4 linked regions of the Caenorhabditis elegans genome follow. The protein of the gene in region 3 interacts with the protein of the main gene of each other region in a pairwise test. Each region holds a gene or a part of one and is shown on either strand. Other genes may lie near its edges.

Region 1 (4,319 bases), on a different chromosome or scaffold from region 3:
TGATTTTTTTTGTGCAAATTTTCAATGTTTTTTAGAACGGCTAGAAATAAGTTTACATTCTGGGAAATTTTTAAAAATTTTAAAAAATTTTTGAAAAAAAAATCTAAAAATTTCCTCAATCCACTCCACTCGGTTCAAAAATTTTTCAGATTTTTTGAAAAAATTTAAAAATTTTCAAAAATTTTCCAGAATGCTTACCTACTTTTAACCGTTTTGAAAAACATTGAAAGTTTGCAACAAAAAAAATTTGGAGCAATTCTACAGGCCTCCAAAGTAGTGAAGAAGTGCACTGTAACAGTTTCAGATCGATGCTAGAGGGGTTGAGAGTGGAGCTTTGCCGCTTAAAATTTTGTAGTAATATATCCTTATGGAACACTTTTAAATGGCACTTGTCTCGTTTTGAAGTCTGACATTAAAAAATAAAATAAAATAAAAACCTTTCCTTGAAAAGCGGCCATGTTATTTTTTAGTGCTAATCTAGTCAATAAACTGTGAGCCAGCTATAAGTTTTGTAGTCATTGTTCATTTTCTAGACAATAAAAAACCAAATAATGTAAATCAATTAAAATATCAAAGTTGTTTATTAAGTTCTTGTGAAACTAATTGGTTTCATTATATACAAAAACTTGAAGTCATTGTTCAGAGTCCGTTCACTTTCTTCTACAGCACTGTCCATTTCCGCATGGAGAGTAGTTAGCTTGGCAGGAGCACGAGTTTTGTGGGCTTTGTGGGCTCTGCTGGCAAGCCGTAGTCGCTGGCTGAGCGGCTTGGCAGGAGCTGGAGCACGAGTCCTGGCAGGCAGACTGGCACTGAGCGGCTGGTTGTTGTTGCTGAACGCATTGCTGCTGGCACGACTGCTCGCATTGTGGAGTACACTGGGAGGACTGGGCGACGGAGGATTGGAGAACGATTTGGATCACAGCTTGGGAAGATGCTGGGGCGGATGTGCTGGCATCGTATGGGTTGTACATTGGAGCTGGAGTCTGAGAAGTGCAGGAGTTGTCACAGGCTGGCTGGCAGGCTGGGGCGCAGTTGGCGGATCCGGAACCTTGGTTGTTGTTGTTGTATGGATTGTACATTTGGGTGTTGGTGTTAGAGTTCTGGTTGTAGACCTGTTGAGTGGCTTGAGCAGTTTGTTGGCAAATGTTGGAGCACTGGCTGTTACAAGCCGAATTGCACTGGTTAGCTGGCTGTTGTTGTTGGGTGCAGGATGATTGACACTGTTGCTGGCACTGTGGTTGGCATTGAGCTTGAGCCTGTTGGATCTCGAGTTGGATGTGGACTACTTGTGGTGCCTGAGTGGATGTGGCTGGAGCATCGCAGGCAACGTTGCACTGTTGCTGGCATTGTGGCTGGCATTGGGAAGCTGGTTGTTGTTGCTGAACACAGGTGGATTGGCACTGCTGTTGGCACATTGGCTGGCATTGGACGACTGGAGCTGGTGTGGTGGTGGCTGGTGGATTGTACATTGGAGCGCACTGGGATTGGCACTGCTGTTGGCATTGTGGCTGGCACTGGGCTACCGATGGTGCAGCCTGGCATTGTTGGGTGCAGCTCTGTTGGCAAGCTGGAGCACATTGAGTGGTTTGGACCTGAAAGTCTCTCTTTGGAGCTATAGCATAAGTTTGCTAGTAACCTGAACATTCTGGGTTTGTTGTGGTTGAGCGCAAGAGCATGATGGGGATTGTTGCTGAACTGGAGCAGATTGGCACGAGCACGATTGAGTCTGTTGAACCTGTTGGCACGAGCATTGGCTCTGCTGGGGTTGAGCACATCCGCATTGTCTCTTCTCACGAAGCACATTGCCCTGAAAATTAATATTCGTAGACTCAAATTTTTAGATCTTGCACAACTTACAGACACCACTAGGGCGCAGGCGAAGAAGGCAATGGCGAGGGAGGTGAAGCGCATGATTAGAGCCGAAAGTATCGGATGAGTATTTCCATTTGATTGTGGGCTTATATACCATCTCGCTTGAAACTATCCCAACCATCTTCCGCCTTCTCATGCCGCGCGGCAAACAATTTATCGCGTGAAAAAGTGTTCGGTAAGACGAGCAAAGATGAAAAAAAAAGAGACGGTGAGCAGTGCACTCGAGTGGCCTATTCAAATAATCTTTGATTGACAAGAGAAAAAATTCATGATGTATGTGCACCAACACTTTGTTGAACTTCCTGCCCGTTATCACAGAATATATAGAGGTTATCGCTAACATGGAAATCAGTAAGTGTGTCGCGGGCGATGGAAGTGCAGAGATTTCCAGTTTGATTCCTGTGACAATGACTTTTCAACAACCGAATAATCGACGAAACAGTGGCACCCTTTCGAAAACGAGCATATTTTTGTATTGTGCCTATATTTCGACATGCTTGGTGAGTGTAGAGGGAATTTAAAACTAGGAAGAAAAAAAAAGAAATTCGCATACTTTTATAAACTTCAAAATTGTTTTTTAGTTCAATGTGGAAAAACATGAACATTCAATTTTTCGATACTATTTACAGGAAGACAGGGCTTGGTCATTCTGTGTCTCTCTTTGTATGGACCTGATGGGTGGTATGAGAGTGGTTTCCATTGAGCAGCTTTTCGAGGGAGTCTTGCAAATGTTTCTCAGCGGATATTTAGGAAAGCATTTCGACGGGCTCTCGAGGAAACGGGGTACGGTAGACAACTAAACGATCCCGTGGTGTCAGCCTGCCTCATTGCGGTTCGATCTACGACAAATGGGAATATTTTACCAGAAAAATTGTGACGTCAGCACGCTCTTAACCATGCAAAATCAGATGAGATCTCTGCGTCTCTTCTCTCGCATTTTTCGAAGATCACAGCAAAATGGGACGTTCTGACTCCACGTGAACGATTCATTTTTACAAATTTCGATTACTGCAAAAATGATTTGTTCAAGTATCACATTGACCTAACAAAAACTACAATCAAATACTTATTTCGTGAGTATTTGTAAGAGAAAATCAAGTTTTCAATTTCAGCAATCATGACCGTCGTACCGTTGAACAATTTGAGTATTTGTGCTGCAGCTGCTCTTATTATCAGTGAGTTCTAATTTGACACTGATGTAGGTACTCGAAGCTAAAATATTTTAAGCTTGTCTGTCTATCGATGCCACGTCACCGTGGTACATAGTCTGCCTGGTTCTAGCAATGTGCATATGCGCGGTGAACCGGCTTTTCCTGAACGCGGAAAAGTTCATCACAGGCAGAGATTGGGTTATGGTACTCGGAAATGATGGTACACTGTCGAATATGAACGCAACTCTGTTGACATTGGATCAATGTACCAATGTTATTGCACCGTTAGTAACTGGTGTTAGTTCTGTGTTCGCTTTTTAATTCCAAAGTAAAAACAAACTAAGTTAAGGCTCTGGTGACCTGGGTTGGTCTTCGTGAAACAGTTGGAATATTTGGTATAGCCTCTCTTGTTTCAATGGCTTCAAAAACCATTTTCCTTAGAGCAATCTACATCTCCAATCCTCTGCTTCAAGTGAAGAAAGACAAGAAAGATGAAGCGCTAGACCCATTCGCCAATTCAAGGCTCAAAGAATCTGTGGTTTACACGTACTGGTGCCAGATCTCATTCCCAGCTGCATTTGGAATGAGTCTTCTATTCATGACAGTGATGGGATTTGATGGATTAGCTGTAGGATATGGCTCAAGTGTAGGGCTTCCGGAATTTGTTATCGGAGCATTCAGATCCTATGGATCCGTGACTGCGATCCTTGGAGCGTTTTCCTACGCATTCTTCGAAAAGCGATACAGTGTCGCCACTTCAGGACTACTGGGATTGGTTGTTCAGCAGTTTTTTGCGGTTCTAGCAGTTATATCCGTGTTCCTCCCGGGATCTCCTATGAACCTTGGTGGATACTTTGGAAACTTCACTATGGGAACTTGGTGGCACGATATGGTTCACTCTTTCGACGGGAATAACGCTACAAACTTGGACCCACATGTTGATTGGAAGCACTTTTCGTCTGATGGTGTCAGTTTGGCCAGCATCTTTGTGTTCTTGATTGCGATTGCATCCGCAAGATATGGTGAGTTTGGGTTTTTTTTAAGGTGGTGTAGTCGAATTTTTTATTACCTTATCAGGCTCAAAATTGTCTGAAAACTCCTAATTTTATAATGAAACTCCTTGAAAAATTCTCAAAAAAAAGTTATGACGGCTCAAAAAATGGGCTAAGATTAGTTAAAATTGAAAATTTGACCGACTTGTCAAGCGGCTGGAAACTATCTTTTTTTGAAACCATGGTCAAAATTTAAGTATACAATGTAATTATCTTGTGTTTTAACTTCATATAGGTATTTTAA
Region 2 (8,365 bases), on a different chromosome or scaffold from region 3:
TAGTTAGAACACTTTGTGTAAATAGAGAAAATCAGTTGATCAATCGCTCGATGCACGGAGTGACTGGAGCACCGTGGGGGAATGGCCCGGAATGTCGTTGACGCAGTTTCTTGTCCTTCATTCGTCGATTCTGAAACAGTGAAGTTAAGAGAAAGCAAAACAATTCATGCAATGTTAAAATGGTTGGAGTTTAGACAAAACAACATATTTACGGTTTTTGACAATGTTCAGGCGCGGTTTCAGGTTTCTAAAGTTTTCAATTATTTCTCATGGTAGGCAGATGCGGTTTCAAGGCCTGATGCCTGCCTGAAACCTGCTCACCTTTTGCCTCCTTTTTGCACATTTCCATTTTTACGTGAATTCACAAATGTCCAACTTATTTATTTGCACTCTGATAATTAATTACGAATGTTACTTTAGTTCAAAAAAGTGTGGCTACAAAAAGTGGTGCCAGGCTGTCCCATTACGGTGTGATCTACAAAAATGCGGGAATTTCTTCCTAAAAAAAGGTGACGTCAGCACGTTCTTAACCATGTGAAATCAGTTGTGAACTCTGCGCCTCTTATCCCGCATTTTTTGTAGATCAACGTAGATCAATCCGAAATGGGATACTCTGACACCACGTGCTGAAAAGTAATTTTTAACTTTTAAAGTATGGTTATTGATGGATTAGCGCCAGTGAGGAAATTGTTAAAAACTACTCCAGTGGTGCCAAAATGATAGCAAAACTTTTCCAAAAAAATTTTGAAAATTTTGACAAGTTTGACAAGTTTGAAAAGTGACAATTACTCAGTTTTTGAAAGTCATAATTTTGGAAGTCTGCCAAAAAAATTCCTATAAAACATTCTAGAGGTCGGAACAGGTTTAAATATTTGGCATTTTGCCAAAACTTTTCTGGAAATTTTAAAAAATTTTTCAATTTTTTCGAGTTCGTTTTGGCTGGCGCTAAATATTGTATTTTTTCAATTATTAGTGCCCAAACCTTGTAAATGTTCAAAATATTGAAATTTAGTATTTTTCAGATGTTCGTTTTTTGAAAATCCAGAGAAGCTCAAAATTAATTTTTAAAAATGAGGAAATTTGGGAATTTACCAAAATTTCTGGAATTTTTTTCATTAGGACATTAGATAAAAATTCACATTTATGATCTCTAGACTTTCCGCTGAATACTGCCTATAACATACCTGGAACCAGACCTTGACCTGCTTCTCATCAAGCATCAATTGTGCAGAGAGTTCTGATCTCCGCTTATTCGTGAGATATTGATTGACAGAATACTCGTACTCAAGTCTTGATATCTGATCTTTCTTGTACGGTTGTCGCTTCTTCTTCCCGTCATGTGAGATTGCCCACGGAAGATGCATTGCAGCGTTCGGAGTTGTTGCCGCACTGCTTCCAGCCGTCGTTGGAATTGTGATATCTGAAAATAAAATATTTTGATTGCAGTAAATCAATAACTATAAAACAAGATGGAGCATATATATATTCTGAGACGTCTGTGTGATGACACAGACTGAGAGCAGGTGGGGGGAGGTTCCAGTCGTAAAATTGGGGTGGGCCATGTTTTCGGGATAGAAGGCCCGGGGCAGACACACATGCCGGTCCCTTTCAACTCTAATTAATTGGACGGCGACGCCAGGAGCTGTCTAGATTACGGTAAACTGAGCATATGGGGGGGCCAGGGTTGTGCGGCAAATCTCAAAATTTGCCGAGCAAGACAAATTCGGCAAAATTGGCAATTTTGCCGTGTTTATTAAGCTCAGAAAAATGTGATACTTTTTGATATAATTTTTTAATTTTGTGTCAATTTACTAAATTTTTGGAGGACAAAATCAAGTGTTTTGGTCAAAATTGTATTGTCAAATTTTGCCTAGCTCGACAAACGGTAATTTCGGCAAATTTGCCGCAAACCCCTGATGGGCAGCCTCTAACTCGTTTTCCGTGAAATTTATGCAACTTTTTAAGGACATATGAATTCAAACAGTTGAAGAATTTCCGGGAAAGTACCTGATTACAAAACTCAAAATTATTGACGCGCAAAATATCTCGTAGCGAAAACTACAGGGGGCTTGATTTTTGAAATGAATTGAGCAAAAAATGAGAAAATAATATGAAGAAGCCACAGTAGTCATTTAAAGAATTACTGTAGTTTTCGCTACGAGAAATTTTGCGCGTCAAATATGTTGCGCAATACGCATTCTCAGAATTTTGTCTTTCCCTAATAACTCACGGCAGGGCGCCTGGTACATCAATACAAACGTGCTCTACTGATAACTTGAGTAAATTAAGGAAGATCTACTCAACTATTACTAACTACGTCTCGGACTCTTCTACAAAAAAAAATTTCCAAAATTCCTGGGAACATCTGCCAACTACCCACAACAGGATGATTTTATAGCCTTCTTGCATGCCCGTTTCTCCAGGTGTTCTTCTATTCTGCTCGGAGATTACGTAAATGTTTTAGGCCTTTTAATACCAACATATTCCGTTTACCTGTTATATCCTAATCCTCCCCATTTACAACAATTTGATATATGATGATCCTTGACGGGGACAATACCTCCTAGACCCCTATTGATACAACATTTTACGATTTATTGAATTTGATGATTCAGTTTACGCTTGCGAATTCTAAAGGTGTTTACTTTGCCATTTCAGTCATGCCATAGAGTTACCCTTTTTTGCTGTGAAACTTACTTGAGAATCGATTTTTTCAAAATTCAAAAAAACCCGAAAGTGTACAGTGTACAGTACTTTATCTTTCAAAAAATCAGAACAAAAAACAATGAAGGGCAAAGAATTTGTAGGAGAAGGCAAGTGGCACGCCGTCGTCGTCGACTATAAAACTAGCGTCATAAAATTCTAGACAACACTACTCCTCACACTGGGACCCGGTCGGCATACACTTTGAACTTCAAATGAACAACTTGCCGAAAGGATACGGAAGAAGATGAAGATCACATCTGGCATCAGAGAGAGAAGGGATAAGCTGTTGGAAGTTAGAGCAGGGTTACGGTACTTTTTAGTCAGGAATGTCATTTTTCTAGAACATCATTTTTCATAGCCGTGAATCATTTCCATAATCGAATCAAAAAAGGAACATCAAAAAATGTGGGTGCTTCGACGATTCTTCAAAACTAAAACTTGCGTTAAAGATTTCTAATTATCGTAATAGTATTGCACTTAATTCTGAAGACACGTAAATCGAGACAAACGCTACAGTAGTCATTTAAAAAATTACTGTAGTTTTCGCTACGAGATATTATGCGCGTCAAATATGTTGTGCAACACGCATTCTCAGAATTTAGCGTAACTGTAATATCACGTGGTGTCAGAGTGTCTCATTTCGGCTTGATCTACGTAGATCTACAAAAAATGCGGGAGTATGAGAAGCGCAGAACGTGCTGACGTCACTTTTGTTTTGGGCAAAAAATTACCGCATTTTTTGTAGATCAAACCGTGATGGGACAGTCTGGCACCACGTGTAATATTTTCACGGCACGGCAAATGGTACATCCGTGGAAATGCGCTCCATCGAACACCGTGCATAACCCGGATTGGACGCGTTATAAGGAAAAAACTTTGGCCTAATGAATTTAGAATTTTTTGTGAATACTGTAACTTGATTAAAAAATTTTTAAATGAACCATCCGTTTTTGAGAAACACGCACCCAAACTGCCAGGTATACGGTAGACAAACTGCGTAAAGGTACCACTTCTCGGGTATAAGCTTTCAAAATTAAACAATATGGTGCAATACTAATAGAGAAAGTTACTAGATGCTTCAAAAAGTGCTCAAAGTCGCTTAAAGTCCTTAGTTCTTTCTCCCGCTAATCTCGATATCGAATTCCGCATTATATCAACATGACAAGCAGCTTTTAGTTTTAGTAATACGTGTCACTAAAATCGATAAAAAAAAACTACGGACGCCGTAGCGAGACCCACTGAGAAAAACATTATGTACCTTTAGAATAGCCCTTCCCGATCCCAAAAGAACATTCCAAAGAAGGCTCCAACATGTCTGTCGTATCCCCATCCAGCTCTTTCTCCCTCATCTTCGCCCATCCCTAACTACCGTATCTCAATTTGTCCTTCCCCTAATTGAAATGGGGGCTGCCCCCCCCCTCCACTCGCTGTTTTTAATCCGAAAATTTGCGCAGCAGTCGTCGTGACGCCAAAAAAGAGAGTCTCTCTGCCTCTCCAAATACGGGGAGCGGGACGAAGCCAAGCAGCCACACGGAGTCGTAAAATCGAAAATGGAGATAACACACAGCAAGCGAGAGAGACGGGGAGAAAAACGAAATATTTTGGGCGAAAAGGCAATTTGTGAATGAGTGATAGGGACATGTATAGCGCCCCCCCGAAAAGTACCATAAGGCGCCAAGTTGAGTTATTTTATAGACTGTTGATTTGTTGCTGGGAGGTTTGAGATTTGAGATTCTATTACACTGGTTTTTGATCTTTTTTATTTGAGAATGGTGATTCACAACTTCCAGCATTAAAAAAAATCTGAAAGTGCACCGTATATTCCCTTTTAGTATGGCGCCCCCCTCACTCGACTTTGACCGTTTATATCTCGGTTCTCTTTGATTGATCATATTTCAAAAATTCAAACGACAAAATCTTTTTCAAATCTATTGTTATGCTCTGGTTTTTAAAGGTACCAAAAATCTTCTGAAACCGCTGAAATATAAGCCGACAAAGTCAATTGATAGGGGGGGGGGTCATACTAATAGGAAATATACGGTAGTATAAACTGCTATACACACCTAGTTCAAAAGTCATGGGGTACTTAGTAATTCTATTCTAGTTAAAGAAAAAACAGTCCCGCCGGATGTCAGTTGCTGTAAACAAAGTTATGTAATTATGGCAATATCAAGGATGTGGAAAAAATCAACAGCAACATTTTGTTAGTTGGAAATTTTTTGCTAGCAGTTATCATATTCGAGTTACCTATACTTGTTTGAGCAATTCAAGCAAATCACCGTAAAAGCGAAAATAGCTAATATATAAACTTAAATGAGTTCAGGAAAAAAACCTAAATCCTAAAAGCTACGTTTTACATAAGACATTAAAATACGGCATACCTTACAAAAAATCGATATTGGTATAATTAGAACCACAGCTTCTGACACTTTGCCCCTTCTCTACCGTACCATAAAACTGATGTAAAGTGTCTGTTATCGATATAGTCTTCTCCTCTCCTTTTTTGCCTTTTCTCCAAAAAAAAAAGAGTGTCGCCAGTGCGTGTTTATACACGTCGTCGATACACACACACACACATATACAACTTGAAAGGGTCGCCGCTGGCGCCGCGAGGAGAGTGCACTCTCCGATTACTGTATGGGGGCAAAAAAATGAAGAAGATTCTATATAAGGAAGAATGACGAACAAAAAAAGAGATGATCGGAAGATAAAGTGGTACGGTAGGAATTGAAGGCGCGTGTGTGATTTGATATCGATTACTAATTGGGCAAGGGCGAGGCGAAATTTATGGGTGGGGGAGGTCTCAACGGTAATTAATAATTTTATGATTGTTATGCGGAAAAGGAAAGGAATGAGATCCAAATAGGCTGCGAATTGACTTATGATCTTTTAGAAAGTTCCGAGTTACGGAGCAGAAAACCGTGTTCTCCTACCCTTGCAACTCGCGGCGGTAAGATCAAAGCTAGTGATAGCGAGGAATGCGGAGGTGGGCGGGCAGATGGAAGAGCACAATGACATAATAGAAGTGAGATGTTGGAACTAACCACTTAAATTTCCATCGAGACTTGGAATGGAGTAGTTAGCTGTGAATTGATACGGTTGTCCGTATGAGTACCAACCAGTTGAGGCCAGCGGATTTTGATAGAAATCCGTGTAGACCGGGTTCATCATCATTCCAAACTCGTTGGCAGTTGGCATTCGACTTGGTCCGAACCCATACATCCCTGCTGTTCCAGGCATAACCATTCCTGTGCTGAAAATGATAGATGTCATTTGCCAAATCAACTTCACACTAACCTAGACGGCGCTAGCTGTGGACTCGACCCAGTTTCAGATTCTCTTTCCGAACGGCTTTCTCCTTGTATCGACGGTATGGCAGCAGCAGCACTTGGCCAGAAGAATGGAGTTTGTTGGACAGAGGTGATAGATTCTTTAGAGTCTTCTGGAGAGTCGTTATTAATCATTTGTTGCATCACCGAAATCATTCCATATATGAGCAGCTTGGGGAGTTATTTGGGTTTGGAGATCTGTTTTTGAACCTGAAAGTTGAGCACTTTGCGAGATTGAGCTTGAAAAAGTAAGGAAAAGAAAAACGAGAATTTAAAAAGCTTATATTTGAACACTACTGTAGCACTTGTGTCGATTTACGGGCTCGATTTTTGAAATGAATTTAGCACGGCTTGTAAGAGCTACAGTAGTCATTTACCGTATATTTCCTATTAGTACGGCCCCCCTCACTCGACTTTGAACGCTTATATCTCGGTTCTTTTTGATCATATGTCAAAAACTCGAACGACAATATCTTTTTCAAATCTATAGTTATGCTCTGGTTTTTGAAGGTATCAAAAATCTTATGAAACCGCTGAAATATAAGACGACAAAGTCGATTGATGGGGGGCCATACTAACTAGATATAAAGCTTTAGCTACGATATATTTAGGATTTTGACGCGGAAAATTAATTAATTAGTAAATAAGCTTATAACAGTAATTATTATTTATCGGCGACAAACGCGGCAATCAAAACCTTAAGCACCAATAAAATAATTTTAAACCTCATAAACCTTTTGAGGGTAATAAAATAAAAGCTGGGGGGGCACATAAATAACATAAATGTTGAAACATGCATGCGAGACAAGTAATAAAGATTAAGAGAGCACTAAAAAAGTTTTATAAACGCATTAAAAAGGTGTTTCCTCTTTCCCCCTTGTGTTGGAAAACACCAAAGAGACTATAAAGAGAATAAGGGGCGGGGGGCCGTGAAAGGTGATGAGGCCGAGGAGCAGAAAGGAGGACACTACATAACACGCACGCTCCACCCACTTGTCTACCGTACCCCTCTGACGAATTGGGCGGCGAGGAGCGGGGCGGGCGGGGAACAGAGAATGAATAGGAGAGACAAGTTGAGTGCAAAAAGCAAGGGAAAAGCAAATTCCATGATTTTGACAAATATCAACTTTTTATTCCCATATATATGATACAAAATTTGAGCGTTTTTTTTTCAATTTTATTATATCAATTCATTTGAAAAAAAAACCCGACCTCCTGCACTCCGTATTCTATGATATAATTTTAGTATAGGAAACCTTCCACCAATTTTACGACTGGATTACCTTCCGATCCGATTTGCCTTTTAGTCAATGGACAGGAAGAGAGAAAGAGAGGTCGCCACTTTTTTTTCTTTTTTCTCGCTTCGGTTTCTGGTCATTCTATTTTTCTTGTCAAGAGGATTTAGATTTGAAATTTAAAAAACCCCCTGAAGCTTGAGTATTTAAGCTTCCCGCACACGTGGTGCCAGAGTGTCTCATTTTGGATTGATCTACGCTGATCTACCAAAAAATGCGGCAGAGTTCTCAATTGATTTTGCATGGTTAAGAACGTGCTGACGTCACATTTTTTGAGAAAAAAATTACCGCATTTTTTGTAGATCAAACCGTAATGGGACAGCCTGACACCACGTGGCGGCTTATACCTCGGCTGTCTTCAGTTTTACCAAAAAATTTGCAATAACCAAAATATAGGGAAACACTTTGCACTTATTTTGTCCGTTTGCAATTGTTTGATAAAACCAAAGCGAACCGAGTTTTAGGCTGTCAAAGTAGAGCAGGGGGTGCTTTTTTAGAACAGTTTTGATTTTTTAGATACAGGTTTTTATTTAAATTTGAGACCCTAAAACTATCGTGAGACTTAGGCTTAGACTTAGGCTTGAGCTTAGGCCCTTTGAAATTCTAGAAACTTATTTCTGGAAAATCAGAATGAAACTTTTCAAAAAAAAAAAGGATTAAATGCTTTTATGGCGGTTCAAAATTTTGAAAAAACACCTATATTCAGCTTTTCCGTGTCGGAGAGGTTGGAGACTTTTTTGTATTTTCCTGGGCTTCCATGTAGGCGTGAAGACGCCTGCCTGGCCTTAAGGCGACCTCCGCCTGCCTTCCGCCTCAATCCGCGCTTTATGCTCTTAATTAAACTTCCATCAAAATGATAAAAATGAGAAAGTTTGAAATTTTTAAATTCAAGTAAAAATTCAAAAAAAATAACGAGAAATTGCATTCAGAAGAAATATATTTTTTGTCAAATGTTCGAATACCGATAGAATAAATTAAAAATTTTAATGCATTTTTTTCATCTTTTTAGATTTTTTTTAAAATAAAATTCGTAAA
Region 3 (6,354 bases):
AGAGATTAAAAAAACAAGCAACAGGTTTTTCAGAAAACATATGATAATTGCTCCAGGTTTGAACTACAAACCGATCAACAAAAATGATTACAGGAATGGTTCGGAAAAATTATGATACTACTTATTTATAGCTGTTGATTGCAGGCAAAACGTTGAATTGCTAATCTGACTACACTATTCAGTATGTTCAAACAGTACAAAATAGTACAAAAGTTGGGACACAATAATGTGACAATACAGACAAAAAGTGACTGTGAAGTGTGAAGTGACACGCAACACTAAAAGTTGATATTCCGGAGAGATAAAAACTTGCATATAACACTTTTCATCTGTATTTTTTGTTGTAAGAAATCACATTTTCTTCCTGTATATTTCAAGTATATTTCAATATCTAAAATATATGAGACACGTCTGAAACATGTTTTGAACGACATAATGAACTACCTTTACCTTTACCTTTTTAACATTTTGTTAGTTTACCGTTTTCGAAACCAATTTTTAGCTTATTGAGTTATGGTTTTTAAACACAGCCCCACATTCACGAAAAGTCGTTTGTGCATACCTTCATGACCAGCACTGTACCCGATTATTTGATGTCATATTTACTTAATTTTTATAACCTTGAAAATATTTAATATAACCGATAAAAAATGCTCCAATAGTTGAATAATAATAAGAATGCATGTGTATAATATGATTTTTGAAAAACCCAAATCTAAATATCGTTAATTTTCTTCATTTTTATTTAAACAAAGCGTGACAAAGCAAACAAGTTGGACTAGAGATTTTGTACTTTTTCAAAGTTCTAATCGAGAAATCTGATGAAAAATTATAAGAATAAAATTTAAAGAATGAATTAGTTTATTATATTGAATTGCATATGTTTATTTGTTTCCGCTGAGATCCACTTCCATAGTTTTTGCAATAAGGCGATCAGTTACTTGAAGTTCCTACAATAAAAAAGAGATTTATTTTAAAAGTACCGTTGAATACCTACCATTTTCAGTCTTGGGAAGCAATAAGTAATCATTTCTTCCATTTTCTTCATGTCTTCAGCTGATAACGGCCCGGCTAATGATGAGTCGAACTTTGTGGATTTTGCCTTATGTACTGTTGTCACATGAGATTGTATCTTTAAAAAATAATCATATTTGAAAAAGCAATTGAAATAGATACTTACTCGTTCTTGTGTTGTCCGGTAATGTTTACATATTCTGCACTGAAATGCTGCCATTTTCAGATGGTTTTTCTGCACATGATTCAAGGCACTCGATCCGCTGGAAAAAAGTTGTTGAGAAACTGATGGAATATATTTTTACGAATAATGTTTTGAGTTTGTTTACCATGGGTTTGTTCACCTAGATAATTTAAAAATGCCTACAAATCTCTTGAAAAAATCAAAAGCCCCACTGATCTTTTTTATCGAGACTATACAAAAATGTCTCAACTTCATTCAGGGTGTACGAGAACTCGTACTCTTCTATCTCTTCTTTCATCTTTTGTTTCCCATATAATTAATATCAGCAATATTTGATCTTGCTTTTATCACAGTACCTTTTGTCAAAGTGCTTTTGCCCCGCCATTCCTACAGTTTCTCCACCCCCTTTCTTATGTATTTATAGCAGCCCATGTGGACTGCTTTTTATCTTTAATCTACAACGTATTGAATTTTTTAAGTTCAAATAGTTTTTCAGTTGACGAGTGCACTAAACAGCTATTCAATTTTTGATGACAAACTTAAAGATTTGGGCTAATTGGCATGAAAGACCATGAAAATATTTGAGAGTTTTTTAAAATAAACTTTATTAATAAATTCGGTCATGTTTTACGATTATGAAGCACCTGAAAAAAAAAACAATTTTCACTCAATTTTTAATACGCTTTTTTTTCATTTGACAAAAAATTTTTAAAAAAACTTACTGTGACCCTTTTGGTAGTATTTCATCACACTTCCTGCACTGCATATTTATCGGAAATATACCGCATTCTGTTGATGTCTAAACGTTAGCATGTATTTTCGATACATTTTTACTTTTACCTACCATGGATCTGATAATCGGCTTTTGCGCCAATTTTCTGACCATACTCCGTTTTGCTTTGGCACTTGGGAACTGTGGCGTCATTCTTATATGTGAATCCATGTTAATTATTTCATGCGGTGCTCCATTCGAAGTGGATGCCTCTTGTTGGCATGCCCCTATAAAACGGGTTGGTGGAACAGAATTGTGACGTGGGATTCCTGAAAATAAAATAAATGCTTTGTTCACACCTCGGGCTTTCAAATATTGTAGTTAGTTATTTTTGATTAAAAAAGGCATTTTTCTTACCCATCGGGATCATTTGAGGTAGAGGAGGCGGTATCATTGACGGTCCTGGCAGCACAGTAAGGTCAACAAATTCATGGGCAGTCTGAAATTAAAAAAAAAAACTATATAAATGCCATAACACACGTCCAACGCCATACCAAAAGAGCCATCAGCCTCTGAACATTGTTTTTAGAATTTAATCCAATGCGCATACAAATGAAATGATCGAAAACAATTGGGGCAGAAGGTCGCTCGACTTCCACTTGACGTAGTCTGAAAATTACATGAAATGAAAACAAAAAACGTTTTTCTATGCATTTTTTACAAGGGAATATTGATTTTAAGAAGAGAAAATATTTTTGCGTACATTGTTGTACTGCAAAATGTTTTGAATCAATTTCCGGTATTTCAACACTCTTGTTATTATTTTTAAATTGTGAGATGAATATTTCCAATCCTTAAAATATACAAAAAATTTTAATTGAATAAAATCGGTTACACTGTGATTACAACTAGTATATTAAGCACATTCGTTGCAATAATCATTCTGCGCAAACTCGACCATAAAATATGGTTTCACTGAAACATCCACGTAAAAGTTTTTACATTATGCACCAATTTTCGTTTCAAGAATTTTTTTCGAATTTCAATCTTATTAAAAACTTTTAAATTGTATTTGCTTGTTTCACATTCTAACGTTGTTTTTCTGATGTTTTAAATTATATGAATTTCATAATAAAAACCCCTCGGCTCAAACTCGCATCATTATCTCTCATCTCAGTTTATTTTTAAACTGAAACATTTGCACCCGATCAAAACTCATTATCCCAGGTTTTGTATGTTTACACCATTGTTACACTTTTCTGCAGATCGACCAGAGAATTGTTGCCCTCTTGCACAATGAGATTAGTGTGTGATGTAACGGACTTTTCGCATTTTTATTTTCTGATCTCCACATCAGCTGTCAGAATAATGCCAAAATGTCCGGATTAATTAACCAGTCATCCTTTTTCCCTCATTTTAAATGAATTCTAGTGATTGAAGTAGTGACGGATACGTACTTCCGGGTTTAGTTCGCGACAAAAAATATATCTAGCTTGTTTTTCTCTGTTTAAAAGCATAGAGAAAAGACGTGTATTATAGAAGATAATTAATTGTTGTTTTGATAATAATGGAATGATTAAGCCAGCTCACAAAGCTCACAATTAAAAAACTGTATAATTATAAAACGCCACTAATAGAAAAACTATCGCTGCTTAAAAAATTTAAAAAATTGCATAAGAAGTTTTGTGTTAGTTTGTTTTAACTTGTTTTAAAATACATTCATAATTTAAGTTTTTTAAAATTAATTTTGATGAGTAACTATCAATTTCAGATGTTTAGATTTTCCTTTACACACCTGATTTTTCAAAAAAAAAACTGGATTTGGAGCCCTTTTAAATCATATTTTTCCCTTTTTGTAAGTGGCCAAACATTTTAAACTTATGGTCAATTATGAGATACTTGCTATTTAAAATGCTGCTACTTGCTGCTTAAAACTCAATTGCTTAAAATTCAGACTTCATTCTAAATGCACCTAGAATTTCTTTTAACAATTCGAAACTGTTTGGTGGAAAATGTTAAAAGTACTGGAAACACATAATAATTCAGCTACTTTTTAATAAATGAATTTATATGTGTAGCTTGATGTCATAACAATAATTGTTTTCAAAGGCAAAAAAATCTACTAACGAATAACCGGTCTTTAAAAAATAAAACGACAAAAGTTTCGATTGATCATTGCGTGCCGCAAATAGACGGTCACCGACCGGTATATTTATGCAAGTGGCTCGCGAGCCGGGCACCCGGTTTTATGTGAATTTATGTGCCACCAGAACATTTTCGAACGGAGAGAAAAAAGAAATTGGACTCTGAGTTTTGAAAAATAAAGACAGACTTTTATCATTTTTAAACTAATTAAAATGATAAGCATACCGTTCTCTCACAATGTGCGTTGGTGGTGGAGCTGGTGAAGGGGTATTTGCTTCGTCAAATTCTTGTTTTATTTTTCGAGCAATCATCAGAGCATCTTCATCGTCCTCCTGCTCTTGCCACTTTTCAGCTTCTTCGTACTCCAAATCCACAATTTCGGCTTTTACTTGCTTCATTTTTTACAGATCTGGAAGAAAGAGATAGGGATCAAAAATAAAAAATTAAAAACAATAAAATATCGGCGAAGTTTAACGCGATTCAAAATTAAATTGAACTGTCAGTCAGCCTTTTTTCTAAACTAAAAATAGTATTACATTTTGGAATAAGTACCTCAGAGAAAATTCTTTGTGCAATTTTGCAGAATGATTTTTAACTATTAATTGATTTTTTTCAATCACAAATCAAAATGAAACGTAATAATTCAATTAATTATTTTATTTTATAAAATTAACAAATAAAAAACAAGTTGAGTTATTAAACTTTGAGAGAAATTAGAATCACAGGCAAAGCGGAGTGTATAGAGGCAGTAGAAACGGGCTGATGGGCCTGTGCGGTGAGAGAGAGAAAAAGAGGCAAAAGCAAAGACAGTGTGCGGAGGATCGATGCGGACAACTATCCAAAACCGGTCCTCGATTTGTTCGCGTTTTCTCAATAACCGGCTTGTCGTACGCACTCGCACCAGGAGCGGCCCCACACACAACGTTTCGACAACAATAAAACCCGTCTTACATTTGTTGCGCCAATTTCCCAGATTTTCACAACCGCCTTTATACATACATAAAATTACCCGGTTTCTAGAAGTTTAGATCAATATGCACAAAAATTTGCAATCCAGATATTTCCATAAAAATTAAAGTTAAATGGCTATCCCTATCTAAAAACGAGTAGTTTATACATATAACAAAACAAAAAACATTGAGAGAGTCCATAATCATCTCATCCCATTTTTTTTATTTAAAAAAAATTAAGAAATGTTTTGGTTTAAGACAGTTTGGGAACATTAGTTAGTATATCAGTTTTCAAAAATAACTTCAAAGATGGGAAGACACTATTCATTTTTTTTCCTATAGAATTAAAATTAAATTAAAACTGTAAGATATTTAGAATATTTTTTGACTATATTAAAACAAAATTCTCTTATTTTATCAGCTTAACCTATCAATTTTGAATATGACAATTTTCAATAAAAAATAATGACACTGTTACTTTATTCACATTTAAGTCTTAGAATGAGAAAAGTTTTGCATTGTAAAATGAAATAAAATGTTTTTTCAAGCTCCCGTCAATAAATTTCTCAAAATTTTATAATCACGTTCAAAACTATCAAAATTTGTCATATTTGCTGAAACAACAGTTGAAAAATGTGAAATCTAGCTCAAAACAGTTTTGCTTAAAAATAAATAACTACTGTTATACATAGTTAAAATTATACAAATGCAAACATTTTCAGCTGTTTGGAATTACAAAAAAAAATGTAATTAATTTAAGAGATTGTCTTAATTTCTCAGAAAAGAATGTATTTGCATAATAACTAGAATGAAATACCAAAACTTAACTTAGATCTGCAATTTTCACCAGGCTGCTCTTTGAAAAACCAAATTTCAATATGTATAAAGTGAGGGGAAATAATCAGCTTCTGAGCATTTTTAGATCAGATCAGTACATTTAAAAATTTCTATTAAACCTTATCAAACTACATTCTGTTTGCTCAAACCGTAAAGCTAACTTAAAGTTTCAGCAATTTAAATCAATTCAGAAGCCCAGGTTTCAAACTGAGCCAAGCATTTCGTCTAGATAGTGACTTTAAATTGAAGACTTGACAAAACCGGTTGAAACATAAATACATACACATGCTTATTGGACGGAGAGAAAAGATTGATTCTCATGAGAACTAGATTGAATTCAAGCAGTCAAAAAAAACTATTTCAAGAGGCTAGCAAAAGAGATATTCAGATGACAGATAAGGTGAAAGGAAAATATATCACCTTCCAAGGGTTTAGATAATTTGTTTTATCTAAAACCTGGTAGGCATGTTTACTTCTTTAATTATTATATCTTGTATATAAAATTAATCTGC
Region 4 (5,703 bases), on a different chromosome or scaffold from region 3:
GCTGCAAGTGCGCTCTAATGAGAAAAATAGGATAATTTTGATTTTGAGGGGGTATTTGAGCACATTTTGTTATTTTTGAAAATGAAAGTTTTCTTTAAACCTAATTAACTAAAATTTAAACTCAAAAATTTGAATTTCCACTGACCGTGAGCTGCAAGTGCGCCCCATTGAGAAAATACGTAAACAATGTTTTTTCCAAGATATTTGAACTCAACTAACCATTTTTAACTAAAAGTTGTGTTTTAAAACACCTAAAAACAAAGTTTTCTTTATGAAAATTCAAATTCATGCCGACCGCACGTTGCAAGTGCGCCCCAATGAGAAAATACGCAAAAACTGAGTTTTTACTGGAATTTTCACGCATTTAGCTATTTTTTGAGCGCAAATTGTCTTAAACTTATTCGAAAAACAAGTTTTCTTTTTAAAAAATTTAAATTCTCGCGGACCGCATAATGCAAACGCGCCCCAATGAGAAAATAACTGGAAAATCGATTTTTCTTGTGATTTTCCAACAAAACCAACAATTTAAACTGTTATATTTATTTACCAGTTTTGCTAAAACCAAAAAAGTGCAATTTCGAACTAAAAATTCAAATTCCCGCGAAATTGCTGGAAAATCACGGTTCAGCGAAAATTTAAAAGGAATCGATAGAAGTTAATGTGAAAACAAGAGAAACAAGTTTTCCTATTGAAAATTCAAATTGGTATGTTGCAAATGCGCCCCAATGAGAAAATTGCTAAATTTTCAGGTTTTCACCACCAAATTTGTTGCAGAGTGTTCCCACAACAAAAAAGCAATGAAAAGCAGTGGAGGAAAAGCTCCCAGGAATCAATTCTCCCCGAAAACCTATAAAACTCAAATGAGCCACTTTAATTCCGTCTCATTTGATATCCCTGAGACGTAGACAGCCGCTGATTTTTATTTTTTAAAAAGGTTCAGAGGGGGGTAATCATGAGAAGAACGAAAAAAATTGGCGGCAAAACACAAAAAGAAATAAAAAAAAAATCGAAAAGAGACACACAAACAAGTCTATAAACTGTACGAGAGGGAGAGAATTAGAGAAAAATAAATTTTGCAACCAAAAAAAAAAAGACAATTCAGACATCCTCCCCCGAATCGGCTTTTCCCGAAATTGGTGTGCTAACAAATTTGTGACATTTCCCGTTTGGATGGGCCTCGTGGTACTTGGTCGGGTCGAATTGCGATACAATCAGCGAGATGAAATCCTTGGCGCTCTGGAAATTCAAATTTATATAAGGCTACAAGTGCGCTCTAATGCGAAACTCACCTCATTCTCGAGCATTTCCATAACCTCGGCGTGGGTGGTGGTGTTGGTCACGAAGGTCCCATCGATCGCCAAGATACGGTCGTTCACACGGAGCTGGAAATATGAAGTAGGGGTACTGTAGGGAGAGAGTACTGTAGGGAGAGGGATACTGTAGGGAGGGTGATGTAGGAATAGGGTACTGTTGAGAGAGGATACTGTAGGGAGTGGTACTGTAGGCAGGGGATACTACAGGGAGAGATACTGTAGAGAGCGGTACTGTAGGAAGGGGGTACTGTAGGGAGGGGGCACTGTAGAAATGGGGTACTGTAGGGAGAAAATACCGTAGTAAAGGAGTACTGCAGGGAAGGGCACATTAGGGAAGGGGTACTGTAGGAAGGGGTACTGCAATAAGGATGAACTGCTAAAAGAATACTATAGAGGACTGGTACAGTAGGGAGGCAGTACTGTAGGTAGGGGTACTGCTGGAAGGTTACCGTAGGAAGGGTACTGTAGGCAGGGGTACTGTAGTAAAGGAGTACTGGGGAAGGGGTACTGTAGGGAGGGGTACTGTAGAAGTGGGGTACTGCAGGCAGGGGGTACTGTAGTAAGGGTGTACTGTAGAAACGGGTACTGTAGAGAGAAATAACTGCAGTAAGGGGGTACTGTAGGGAGGGGTACTATAGGAAGGGAAAGGGTACTGTAGGAAAAGGGGTACTGTAGGAGTACTGTACCTGATCATCGTCCGCCATCGACCGCTTCAACTTCCCAGTGACCACGACCGGACGGAACTGATCACAACCTCCCTGAATAATTCCATTTCTTCAAATTTTTTGGCTTTTCGGCACCAACCGTAATCTCGAGCCCAAGCCCCTGATTGATATGCTCTCTCATGAGAATCACGAGCCGCGGAGAGCTCTGCCAATCGTCTCCGTTCTCAAATGCAGCATCACCAAGGTCCGACGAGTTGATCCTGGAAAATTTTTTGATGCTCCAACAAGTTCCCACAGAAATCCATCACCTACCGATTGATGAGCCAAAGCGTGTTGAGACGCAACAAGCGGTTCTCCTTCTCGATCTCGTCCCACAGTTTCGATTTGACGGCCGACTCGATCGTTGCCGCGTTGCGCACCAAATCCATCATCTGTCGCATTGCTGCCAGCTCCTGTAATGAGTCTCATGGGAAAGTGTGGGGAGGGGACATGATCATGTAAAAAATGATGATGCGTAGGGGCCAAAAATCTAGAAAAAAAGTGGGGGAAATGTCATGGTGCATCGACAAAATGTTTAGGCTGAAGCTTTGGCTTGGGTTTTGGCTTAGGCTTAGGCTTAGGCGTAGGCTTAGTATTAGGCTTAGGCTTAGGTTTAGGCTTATGCTAAAGCTTAGGCTGTGATCTAGGCTTACGCTTAGACCAAGGCTTAGGCTTAGGCTTACGCTTATGCCTAGGATTAAGCTCAGGCTTAAGCTTGGATTAAGGCTTAGGTTTGGGTGTAGGCTTTGGCTGAGGTTTAGGCTAGCAAAAAATGTGGCCAAAGTGGAAATCACCAATTTTTGGGTAACCAGAGCTACCTGAACCTCTACCCCACATGGTGCATCGACTAGGTAGAACCGTACCCTTGCGTAGAACCTGGTTGCCATGAGATGCATGACACTCTTCTTGGACACCTCATTGATATGCTTCGCCATCCGCTCGTTACGCCGCTTCTCCACGTTGAGCTTAGCCTCCACAAGACGGTGCTCCTGGATCCTTTCCATATTGTCACCGACTTCTTGTTTCTGAAATATTAAGCGTTGAAGTAGGCAGGTAGGCACGAAAGTGCCTGCCTGCCTAGTACTTGTAGGCACCTAGGTAGGTATAGGCAGGCAACATTCCCTCACCATATCATTGAAAATCTGCCTGGAAGTCGCGTCTCCCTGATGATTCGCGGCCAGCAACAAGTGGAACTGCTGGATGACGTCATCATGGGCTTCAGCTATGGCACGAAGCTCCACGAGCTCCTGGAGACACTCCTCACGCTCCTTGATTGCCAATTTCTTAGCGGATTCTTCACTGGCGGACAAAGTGCAAACCTGGAAAAATAGTTTGTGATAAATTAATAAATTATCGATTTTTCTCGTCATTGCCAAGTTTTCAATAACCGAGAAAAAGGAGTTTTGAAGTAACTATTGGAAACTTTTCAAATTCCCGCCACAGTTTTGTACCGGGATACCGAAAAGTCGATACATTATCGATTTTTTCTAAAATTTTTAAACTACCGCCCGACCGGGATTTTAAAGAAACTTTATACTAAACAAAATTCAAACCGTTTTTCGATATTTCGAGCCGGATAGCTAACAATTTTCACAAAAATCGATGATTTCTTACTGATTTTCAAAGCGAAATTTTTAAATTCCCGCCTGACCACGCCTACTTTTAGTCAGCGGAATATCGGAGTGTCGTTGGAGTGCGACGAAAAATCAATAATTTTTTGAATGACATTTGCCGGAAAACTGACATTTTTCCAAAAAATCAATATTTCTCCCAGAATTTTCAAATTCCCGCCCGACCGGAAGATCATATTACCTGCGTAAAAACATTCGAAATTGCCTTCAAATGGGTAATCCAGTCGTCCTTCTCATCGGAAGCCAGCGCCTTGGACATTGCCGTATTGAAGACAGCAGTAAGACGATTGATTTGTTGACACGTCATTTATTGATTTTTTTGCGGAAGAAAAATCGATAAACTCAAACAATAAAAGATTTTTATGCAAAAAGTTGGAAAAAGCCAAAAAAAAATCCAATGAGTTGGAGGAAATGACGTGGCAATTAGGGGGAGGAGGAAAGTCACGGGAAAATATACAAAAAAAAGTTTTTTTTTTGAAAAAAAAATTAAATAAAACCCGTCAAAAAATTCCACATTTTGGAGGTCACGTGCTGCGTGATTCATCAGAATTGTTGGACGATCGGCTTGACGTGGGCTCTTCCATACTGTAGAGGTTGTAGCTAAAACAAAAATTTAAAAATTTGACTGGGAATTCGAATTTTCTGTTGAAATTTGGCCGAAAATTTGAATTTCCCGTCGAAAAATTAACTAAAAGGTTGAATTTCCTATAGAAAAACGACAAAAAATTGGAATTCCCCGCCGAAAAATTCATTAAAAAGTTGAATTTCCCCCAAAAAATAGGCTGAAAAATTGAATTTCTTGCCGAAAATAGACAGAAAATTTAGAATTTTTTGTCGCAAATTGACTAAAAATTTGAATTTCCTATAGTAAAACGACAAAAAATTTGAATTTTCTATTGAAAAATGACCAAAATTTTGATTTTCCAGTTGAAAAATTAACTAAAAAATTAAATTTCCAGTTAAATGTTAACTGAGAATTTGAATTTCCTCCCTAAAACTGACTTATAACTTGAATTTCTAGCTCAAAATCAATTGGAAATTTAAAAATCCCGCCTAAAATTAACTGGCAATATGAAAATCCCGCCAAAAATTAACAGAAAATCAAAATTTCCAGCTGAAAATCGATTGAATATTTAAATTTCCCGCTAAAAACTAACTGGAAATTCAAATTTCCCGCCGAAAAATTCCCAATAACTCACATAGATCCATCGCTGTGCTCGATCGTCACCGTCCCATCATCATCACTATCCTCATCGGGGCACACAAAGACGAGCTCCAGGTCTAGGTCGCCTTGCTGTACCTGGAATTTGGAGGGGATGTAGGTGGAGGGCCCCTGGCAGCATCTTACCTGCCCACTCAAAATATCCACTGCCTCCTGATGCTTGACAGTCCGAAGATCGTAGCCGTTTACTGAGAGAATCGCGTCGCCCACAAAGACCTGTCCACATCGGTCAGCAGGCTGTCCCGGCTGGATTTCAGATATCACTATGGGTAGAGCGTGTTCGGATCCTCCCTGGAAATGGATTTTAGGATCCAGTAGGATTTTTTAAGATCTTGAAGAACTAGGATCCATCCGGAGCTCCGCAAACTATCTGGAGTAGTTTTGAGCTATGCAGCAGAACTACAAAAGCAGGGGTTGTCAGAGTGTCTCATTTTAGATTGATCTACATTGATCTACAAAAAATGCGGGAAAAGAGACGCAGACTTTTCAACTGACTGGGAGAAAAATTCCCGCATTTTTTGTAGATCAAACCGCAATGGGACAGCCTGACACCACGTGCAAAAGTACCTCATAATCAGATGGCACATTTGGTCTTACGGGAACTGGATCAACTCTCAGATCTTACAGGATCCCGTGGATCCCCAAAGGAACAAGTCTAGTCAATGATCTACTGGCCCAAAACCATCCAAGTCCCCCCACCTACCGTAATAGAAATGCCGAGCCCTTCGTGCGGGTGTTTCGAGAGCACCACTTTCCTGCTCTTTCCCACTCCATTTCGTTTTCGGAGGCTCTTGAAGTTGTGACGAAGTGGCGCCGTTAATCCCTTCGTGTTA

Evidence for each region.
Region 1: the proteins of F57G12.2 (region 3) and pqn-54 interact in a two-hybrid assay, tested with the Caenorhabditis elegans proteins (one large-scale study listed by BioGRID).
Region 2: the proteins of F57G12.2 (region 3) and nob-1 interact in a two-hybrid assay, tested with the Caenorhabditis elegans proteins (one large-scale study listed by BioGRID).
Region 4: the proteins of F57G12.2 (region 3) and ZK849.1 interact in a two-hybrid assay, tested with the Caenorhabditis elegans proteins (one large-scale study listed by BioGRID).

The regions. Positions count from the first base shown.
Region 1 is NC_003283.11:1,462,606-1,466,924, reverse strand, and holds pqn-54 (Prion-like-(Q/N-rich)-domain-bearing protein), read right to left. Parts: upstream 1,936-4,319; 5' UTR 1,912-1,935; coding exon 1,858-1,911; intron 1,808-1,857; coding exon 1,637-1,807; intron 1,593-1,636; coding exon 651-1,592; 3' UTR 565-650; downstream 1-564. Other genes in the region: fpn-1.2 (Solute carrier family 40 member), read left to right, coding at 2,280-2,372, 2,502-2,655, 2,985-3,047, 3,100-3,320, 3,373-4,045.
Region 2 is NC_003281.10:12,078,072-12,086,436, forward strand, and holds the start of nob-1 (Homeobox protein nob-1), read right to left. Parts: upstream 6,246-8,365; 5' UTR 6,192-6,245; coding exon 6,004-6,191; intron 5,960-6,003; coding exon 5,751-5,959; intron 1,421-5,750; coding exon 1,185-1,420; exon of another isoform or gene 131-1,184; coding exon 32-130; 3' UTR 1-31. UniProt on the Caenorhabditis elegans protein: Transcription factor, involved in posterior embryonic patterning, morphogenetic movements of the posterior hypodermis, and cell fate specification. Binds to the 5'-TAGT-3' motif in regulatory elements of genes, including Meis protein psa-3 and microRNA mir-57.
Region 3 is NC_003284.9:12,155,587-12,161,940, forward strand, and holds F57G12.2 (C2H2-type domain-containing protein), read right to left. Parts: upstream 4,467-6,354; 5' UTR 4,454-4,466; coding exon 4,281-4,453; intron 2,580-4,280; coding exon 2,465-2,579; intron 2,410-2,464; coding exon 2,328-2,409; intron 2,240-2,327; coding exon 2,043-2,239; intron 1,998-2,042; coding exon 1,921-1,997; coding exon of another isoform or gene 1,917-1,920; exon of another isoform or gene 1,854-1,916; intron 1,678-1,853; exon of another isoform or gene 1,616-1,677; intron 1,278-1,615; coding exon 1,181-1,277; intron 1,133-1,180; coding exon 998-1,132; intron 951-997; coding exon 885-950; 3' UTR 721-884; downstream 1-720.
Region 4 is NC_003279.8:14,181,689-14,187,391, forward strand, and holds ZK849.1 (PDZ domain-containing protein), read right to left. Parts: upstream 4,020-5,703; 5' UTR 3,908-4,019; coding exon 3,830-3,907; intron 3,337-3,829; coding exon 3,145-3,336; intron 3,043-3,144; coding exon 2,881-3,042; intron 2,431-2,880; coding exon 2,291-2,430; intron 2,239-2,290; coding exon 2,118-2,238; intron 2,072-2,117; coding exon 2,000-2,071; intron 1,383-1,999; coding exon 1,290-1,382; intron 1,237-1,289; coding exon 1,099-1,236; 3' UTR 907-1,098; downstream 1-906. Other genes in the region: gopc-1 (Golgi-associated PDZ and coiled-coil motif-containing protein), read right to left, coding at 4,173-4,248, 4,848-4,948, 4,997-5,161, 5,574-5,703.